2 linked regions of the Nothobranchius furzeri genome follow. The protein of the gene in region 1 interacts with the protein of each later gene in a pairwise test. Links are inferred from orthologs where the notes say so. Each region holds a gene or a part of one and is shown in the gene's direction. Other genes may lie near its edges. The genes, in order: garem and grap2a.

Region 1 (4,540 bases):
AACAGGTAAGAAAATAACTTCCTCTAAAGGAGCAGAAAGCCGGTGACACCACTTCTTCTTTCACTGTGACTTGCACTTTCAGAAACCTCTATAGGGAGCCTAAGTCACGTCCTTCCGGACCATGGGTCCTCAGCTGCCAAGAAAATTGAAATTGAATATTTTCTGATCCTGTTTGATCTGTTCAGGGGACCCGTGAGCCAACCGGAGGGCTCCTTATATCTGACACGTTTCATCTCAGCCTTGCCAAATAAATCCAGATGATTTTACTTTCTTACGTGCACAGACTTGCAGATTTGATTTAAAATAAAGTAGATCTAACGTACCTTTTCAGCATCATCCAAGTCTTGGTTCAGAAGATGAAGGCAACCAATGTCAAAGTAAATTTTGGAATTTGGTTCTTGAATGGATAAGAAAATGCAGAGGGCTTCTGACCATTCCTGTCTGTCGGCACAAGTTACAGCTTTGTCCCACTGCCGCAGAGTGTCCACATAAGACATGTTTGTTGGCTTACCAGCACACTGATTCTACATTGAGGAAGTTCTTCTTATTTGTACCAGTGAAACTGGGAAGTGTGATGACAGCTGTTACGATTTACAAATGCATCACAATCAGCTCTAAGTGCTAAAGCCACATTTAAATTATTTTCTCCCGTTCAGTGCAATAATTGCACTCTAACTTACTGCTGATGTACCAAACAATTTGCACATTGTGTCCAGGAAATATGTATATTTTTATATCTACTTTTTCAGATGGTCTTGTGTTTATTTTTTATCTGGTATGTCAAATGCTCTATTTGAGTTCCATCAATATTAGCCTACAGTTAACAAAAGCTTTATGATTTAGATTCTAGAGATTTTCTATCTTTGAATAAATTGTGGGTTTAAATGTGTGTGTGTGTGTGTGTGTGTGTGTGTGTGTGTGTGTGTGTGTGTGTGTGTGTGTGTGTGTGTGTTTAGCTCTAAACTAACGTTGGCATTTTATAAGCAGAAAAGCTTGAGATGCATAATGAAAAATGTTTCACATCTAATTGATTTCTAGTATTTTTTAAATAATTATTTTTTAACTTTATTTTGTAAATTTACAAACAAACATGGCACTTTGACAATGTTAAATCCAAAACTCAAATTGATTTCCAGTGTTGTAACGACCTTAACTTTGATGACATTCAGACATTTTTACTGAAATAAGTAATGTTCAGATTATTGTTTGTTCTTCTTTAATAATTCTAAATTTATTGAGCTGCAATATTTATTTAGTAAATATATGATGTGTTTTTGTGCCAAATGCACAAAAACAACTTCCGGGTTTTTCCTTTCAAAATAAATTTCTTGTGACATGACTATAATCACAAAATACTGGTGCGTTTTCTTACAACACTAACATCATATTATAAATGTGTATTTATATATTCTCAAGGAATTCAACGATTTCGCCTTTCAATAATAACGTATCTTCTTTACTTGAATGTATAAAATGCTCTTATTTTGATAGAGTAAAAACGTTTATCCGTTAGCTCATCGCTAGCTAAACAAACATGGCTCTACTACACTTTCGGAGTACGAACCTTTATGATGCGTAGAACAAATGAAAATTGGAGCTATGTAAGGATTAACAAGAAATAAGTCATGTTTGGTATGACTGTTTAGATTAAGTTGCTATATTATTTGTGTTGGTAGCTCGGAGCACCCTTTTGTGTCCGTATTTACACACAGCTAGCTCCAGAGTTGGCTAATGTGAGCTAACAAGATGGACCTTGGAACAATGTTGTACAATAATTTGAAAGATGTTACTTGGAGCTCAACGTCTTTACCTTTGGATCAGCTTGTCAGTGCATATAAAATGCCCCAAATCGTCAAACTGGACAGCGGTTAGTAACTTTGTTATTATGCATTTAAAGCAGTCATCTTTGCGCTAAACATCAACAAACTGTTAAGTTGGTGTTTATATATATATATATATATATATATATATATATATATATATATATATATATATATATATATATATATATATATATATATATATATATATATATATATATATGTATGTCTTAATGATGCTTACATTCTCAAGCATTTTGTAGCCAAAGTGCTGCATCTGCTTGACAGACTACATTATTGTACCACAGCAACTTTTTATTATTGAATGCTTTCATGCATCCTCACATCACAACAAAACATCTTGATTTATGGTCAGCACTGATCCGCTTCTCAAGACTGCATTTATGTCACTCTAGACTATCTGAAGCATTGAAACTGTCAAAATGAATAATTAAACAGATGTATCAGCCACAGTCACATTTAGTTGTCTATTAAATAGATATCTTTATTTTAAACTCTACCAAACTGCCTTGTTGCTGTATTATAATGTTCAGAAATCTGTAAGATAACCGAAAATCTTTTTATTTTATTTTATCAAATGTCATTCTAATCACAGCCAATAAGTAAAAAGTTTCCTATATAAGGAACCCAGCAGGTTGCATCGAGTCACTGACTAGTGTCAGAGTCTTTACAGCAATCCTCATACTAAGCAAGCATTTAGCGACAGTGGAGAGGGAAACTCCATTTTAACAGGAATAAACTCCAGAGGATCCTGGCTCAGTATAAGCAGCCATGTAAATTTGTTACTGACTCCTGCAGGTGCGCAGATATTTTACATGTTATGCACAGAGAACATCGCAGAGGTAATCAAGATTTCTATCAGTGCATCTGAGCATAATCTCACACTTTCTCCTTATCTTGCTGCTGACAGTGTGCCCAAGTAGTGCGCTGAAGGGAGCTCAGAGAGCGTCTGGCGCACTCGACATCGTGCACAATAGCGCAGTGTTGAGTGGAAACCCTTCTATCTTTCCGAGAGTCTGGTATACTTCTGTTTATGTGTCATTAAATAATTAGATTTTTAAACTTTGGCTTAAATAGTGCTTGTTATCCAGCAATTGCCTTGAATCCAGCGTGTCAGCGGACCGCAGATTCATCCATAACAACATTTAAACATCCACAAGTCTGTCTGAAACAAAAGCCCAGAACCTCATAACCTCTTCAGCAAACTCCCTAGAGACATTTGATTACGCACAAGCTGGAGGTGACCTGTTAATGTTTACGTACAGGCCAATGCAGGTAAAATGTTCCTAATTTAAGTGAATTGTTTAATTGCATGTTTTATATGTTACAGGGGCACTCTGCTCAGCTTGTTTGGACTAAATATTAATTTTAAATGAATTAAAATTTAACGGTATTGAAGGATGAATGGATGATGCAACCTCTGGCTGTGAGCAAGTGCTCCCTCCTTGAGTGCATCCAAATGCAGCAGCGATTCATTTCATTTCCTACTCACACTCATAAAAGAAAGAACCAGGTAGCCTATGTTCAGAAAAAAAAAACATTTTGTTTAACCCTCCCACTGTCCTAATGGGTGTGACTCCGCAAGGAAAGTTGACCATTGAGTGGAGTTGATGGTTTTAACCTGTTTTTAGAAACAGGCTCAAGACCCTTCTTTTTAGCTTAGCTTTTAACTGATTACTATCACTTTTTAAATAAATAAATTAGGTTATTTATTTATCTATTTGTTTCTTTTATGTATTCTTTTTTTTAACAGAGCTTTTAGTTATTTTATTATTTTTAAATGTCTTAATGGTCTTGGGCCTTCTTATCTCTCAGAACTGCTTCATAAATACGAGCCTTCGCGGTCGCTGCGCTCCTCTGGCAGCCGTCTCCTAGTCATTCCAAAAGTCAGGACACACTCCCAAGGCGAGGCGTCCTTCCAGTTTCATGGCCCTCGCCTCTGGAACAGTCTGCCAGAGGACCTCAGGGCTGTAGAGAGTGTTCTTGTTTTTAAGGCCGGGCTCAAGACTCAACTTTTTAGTATAGCTTTTAAGTGATTTTGATCTATTTTAGCCAGTTTTACCATCTTTTATATATTTTATCAGTGTTTTATTACTTACTCTTTTAATTAAATAACACATTTTCTTACATATTTATTTTAACTTGTAATAATTATTAGTTTTAACCAGTCTTAATACTTTGTTGTACAATATTTTATAAATTTAATTATATGTTTCTACTAGGTTATCTTTTATCACTGTGTTTTATTTAGATTTTTATTTATCAGCTGTTTATGTTTAATTTGTTTCTTAACTTGTTATCTTAGTCTCATTAGTAAACCAGTGTTTCCTCTGTGGGGGCTGGCTGCCCCGGGGGCAGCGGTGGGCTGTGGAGGCCGGGGTGCTTCCCATGTCTACTCTAGCCAAGGCTATTGCTGCCAATCTTGGTGCTTCCGGTGCAGTTGGCTCCTTTGATGGCATTTTCGTCTTCTTTGTACCTACTACATCTGCACTCAGCCAGCTGCCCTTTATTACGTGTGTGTGTGTGAGCGCGCGTGCGTGTGCGTGCGGGAGTTTGCATCTGTTTGGGACGGGATTGAGGATGGGAGGAGGGAGATACAAAGGGGATCCCTTATGTGAATCAGTGTGGGAGGGGTGGGAAACCGACTGCTTTGAGCTGCATTTGCATGAAAAGTGCTTCATAAATAAATTTTGATTTGA
Region 2 (4,399 bases), on another chromosome or scaffold:
TTTCCTTTTTTTTTTTTTTTTACTCCGCGCTTGTGCGCCCCTTTTGTGTCATGAAAAAATGCCGCCCCGGGCAACTGCCCTGTCTGCCCGTGCCTAAAACCGCTACTGGCTGCGGGGGTAATGTTTGTAAATTATAAGAATAGCTATTTAGCCCGAATTGTGACTGACGGGCTACAAAATTAAGATAACTCTCAACAGCTCAAACGGTGGGAAACTAATTTGTATGTTTTCTGCAATATGCTGCTGTAACAATAACTGAAATCTGTAATAATTTTTTGCCCCCCACCCCCCGCCCACCAGGTACCGAGGCCCTACGCACTCTGCGTACCTTGCGTATGGACAGTGGCGGCGCTGCTCTCAGGCTCAAAATAAGTTTTGTTAAAAGGACGAACAACTAAGTCCTTCAGGAGTACATCTGAGTTAAAACATGCTCATGAAATACGTGGAGTAACCAGGTAGGCGGGTTTTAACCTTGCAAATCTGCAGCGCCTGCTTCCAGAGAGTTAAACCAATTTTGGGTTCTAATAATTAATTCTAAAAGTTTCGGAATCAATGAAATGACAAAAGTGCCCACAGTTATGCACCTGCCTATTTTCGTTTAAATAATTATTACACTTTCTGTAAATCCTATAAACTTTGTTTCACTTCTCAGATATCACTGTGTGTGTCTCCTTTATGATAAAGTAAACTGGACATTTTTATCATAACAACCAACGATTCATACAAAATAAATCATGAAGATTAACAAGGCTTACCAGACTTTCGCATCCCACTGTAGAAGAATCAGAAATCTTCATCGGCCCTAAAACCATAAATCGTTGCATCTGAAGATATGTATTTATGTTCCTATAGATGGATTTATTTCTGCTGTTATTCAGTTGAATCTGATCATTAACTTACAGTCATCCCTTTAAACCAAAAGCAGCCTGAAAACGTGACACTCATCTGAGCCCTTTAGGGATTTCCAGAGGACATCTGTTGTAGATCCTGACTCCAGACTGCCACAGCTACAAAAACAAATTTATTTTGTTTGTGATTAAACTTGGTTTCTGCACTAGTTCTGCTATAAAGCACCATTCTAATCAGCAGAGTCAAAATATCGTCACAGTTGAATCATTCCTGCAGTTTTATGCTGATGAGGAATTTTTATTAATAATCATATTCAAATATGGCATTTAAACTTATTTGCAGTATTGATTAAAGAGCCGCATGATGATGTGATGTTTATTTGACATGGACACAGCAAGTATATTGGACAAACCAGATGCATTGTACAAAGAAATCAACAATGAATCAAACAGAAAACAGATTAAAATTTCAAACAATTTTCAATAAAAAAGAAAAATAAGGCAATTTGAGCATCAATGTAAGTTTTAAACTATTCATGTAGACATTGTTGTTTAGACTTTAACCATTTTTTGAGTTCTTTTTTAAAAACTTTACTGATGATGATGATGATGATGATTTATTTGTAATTTTCCGCATTCAGCGGGTAGAGTTTTTGGGTGTGTGGCCTGCAGAGGGCGCTGTGCTGAGCTTTCATTCTGCGGCTCTAGGTCTCTTCAGACGGATGTTATCTAATTTGCTTTTGGAGAAAGGCGGTTCTTCTGTTTCTGAAGCACCAGTCTCGCGGATCTCTCTCATCTTCCTCTCCACTCGGCCTCTGAGCCAGAACCTGGGCTACCCGTGTGGACCTGGCCTGGTTGGACGGATCTTCTGGACTCTGAATGATGCTGCGGGGCTCTCAGTCAGGAGGGAGAAGTTGAGCAGCTCAGAGAATAAAATCAGGACGAACAGAAGTTCAAGGTAAGGAAAACAGCCCAAATCCTAAAAATAAAAGCCTCTGAGTCCAGATGAGTAAGGTTCGGGTCGGTTGACTCCTCTTCCTCTTTCTGTCTGTTTCTCACTTCTCTGTTCTTTTCTCAGATCTGAAACATCACACGTGCTTACAGACACTTCTAGAACAGAACTTTAGCTGTCCTTGTTTCTTTCTCTCTGGTGGTAAAAAGTCGTGCTCCTATTTTGAGGCAGATAAACAAACACATCAAGTTACCGTTTTATTTCTTATTCCGTGTGTCAGAGGCTCCTGTTTGAATTTGAACTGAATGTTTCTCTTCTTGCTTTGGGAAACGTTTTCTGTGAGGAAAAAAAACAACCAATGAGCTCATGTCTAGATTTAGTTATTCATTAAGTTTTTATCTGCATCAGGTGGAAGTTTGCCATCAGAAATAGTTTGTATGGGAGGTCAATGTCCCCCCCCCCCACACACACACACACACTGTGTGTGGTGGAGGAAGTGAGCTGACATGAAATCTAGTTTAGATATAAAATACAATAAAATTCCAACCAGGTAAATAAAAATGAGAAGTTGTGATGTTTGTCGGAAATCCAACCACGTCTGGTCTCCTACCTAGCCTAGTGAACCAGACCAAATTATTGTTTTGCAAGCAACCCTCACTTGTCTTCAGCTACCCGCAAAAGATGTGTGTTGATTCCATGAAATAGGTGAATTGGGACTTTTCCGAGTAAAACATGACCTTTTCAGTCCTGAGGGGGCAGGGGTTTGATGATGTCATACTTTGACCACAATCATCTCCATTCATCTCACCTGTTCCTGTCATCAGCTTCATTCACTTCACCTGCTCCTGACTCCTCAGCTCATCACTCACACCTGCTTCCCCTGCTACAAAAGAACCAGCCATCCAGTCATTCAGTGCCAGGTTATTGAAAGCCTTTCCCAGTAAATTCTCCAGCCATCCACCCTGCCTGATCTCTGCCTCCGGACCTCGTTTTTCTCCTGACCCCTGCCTTGAACTCTGCCTGCCATCACGACCCTCGCCTGTCTTCTGCCACGTCTCCAGCCTGTTCCCTGTACCTGCTTGTGCCGATCTGGTTTACTCACGCCTGCCCTCCGACTCTGTCTCCTGCCTCGCCCTCCTCGCGTAACTCCTCATCCAAATAAAGACTTTAAAGGAATTTTACTGTGTTGGGCGTCATTACGGGTCTTCTGAGTTCTGTTCATGACACATTTATATTTTTTGGCAAGTAGTCAAAGTTTGAGGCCCTCCACATTTACAAAAAGCAAATTTTTCTGGTAATCTAAGGATTACTGCCATCGTATGCAGACCCTACAAACAGCCATTTCGGGCTCAAAAGCGCAACTTCAATCCAAAATGGCCGACTTCCTGTTTGGTCTTGACCATGGCTACAGGATACTTTTCTGTGCGTCTTGGGGAGTACTACAAGTGTATTAAAATTCACACATCTACTATGAAAAAAAAGTACATTGGGATGCAGATTTTTCCCGCTTCCAGGGGTCGCTGTTGAGCAATTTCCTTTGCAATTTTTGCGGCGCCTTTAAAATATATTTTCACGCAAAATCTATGTTTGGTATACATTTGGTGAGTTTTTGAACATGGTAAAGGTTCGTCTTTTTGTATATAGAATAATAATACTGTTATGTACCCACTCAGTCAAAATTTCTAAAAGTGCAGCGTTCTGTCCCCAGACTGACGTCTGCGATGCTTTTCTTTGACTGACTGTTGTTTAGGTTTACAACACTTTTTTTCCCAGAAATGCATGATCTCAGCTACTTTGATACTCAAAATGATATTTTATTTTCACTGGTTTATAAACACACTATTACCAACCATCAGTGAAAACAATCTGGCATTTTTCCACGTCCACATAGTCAGCGTTGCTAAGTGCTAGCCATGGTGCTAGCAACAACACTATGTAGGTGTTTTTACTTTCAGATTTCATTCATCAGAGATTTTAAAGTAACATTGGTTGGTTTAATAAACCAGAGTTGGGTATCGGCTGTCAGAAGCTGAATGGGTGCATCTCCCAGATTTTTTACGTTGACTCGTTGGACTTGTTTGAATTCTCACCAAGACTTTGATCTGTTGAATGTTTGAAAACGTTTCTGGAACCGCTACAGTCCTTTTGATGGAGCATCTAAAACAACTAATTTAATTCATGCAAAAACTTCTACTGGGTCCGCCCTTAACACTTCCACGGTTGAATAAACCGATATGAGACAGACAGATCAGATTTTTTTACATTTATCTAAGATGTCAGAAGATAAAAGAGCCAGTTTGAAAACAGTCACTAAGCTTAATTCATCCGAGCATTGGGAATCGTGTTTCACGATTCTTTATTTTCTACTCATACCGTCTGCCTCCCGCTTCCCTGAAGCTGAGCGCGTTGCTGCCTGCAGTCTCTGATTATTAAAAGCTTTTATTACTTTTACTTTTCCACGTTTCAGATGAAAGGCGTTTCACTTCCATGTGAGTTCAGGCTGACTGTTTATGACCTGGTTTGATTTACTGCCTGTTTGTTAAACCACTGAAGCAGACACCGAGGCTTCTCTTCTGTTTTTGAGGAGATCAAACCTTTT

What was found.
Region 2: the proteins of garem (region 1) and grap2a interact in binary tests that used the Homo sapiens proteins (3 or more experiments, as listed by UniProt). The link is inferred for Nothobranchius furzeri from reciprocal best matches to the Homo sapiens genes GAREM1 and GRAP2.

The regions. Positions count from the first base shown.
Region 1 is NC_091747.1:36,778,094-36,782,633, forward strand, and holds the start of garem (GRB2-associated and regulator of MAPK protein 1), read left to right. Parts: upstream 1-1,549; 5' UTR 1,550-1,746; coding exon 1,747-1,867; intron 1,868-4,540. Other genes in the region: ncf2 (neutrophil cytosol factor 2), read right to left, coding at 324-497.
Region 2 is NC_091745.1:28,837,279-28,841,677, forward strand, and holds the start of grap2a (GRB2-related adapter protein 2a), read left to right. Parts: upstream 1-1,576; 5' UTR 1,577-1,806; intron 1,807-4,399. UniProt on the Homo sapiens protein: Interacts with SLP-76 to regulate NF-AT activation. Binds to tyrosine-phosphorylated shc.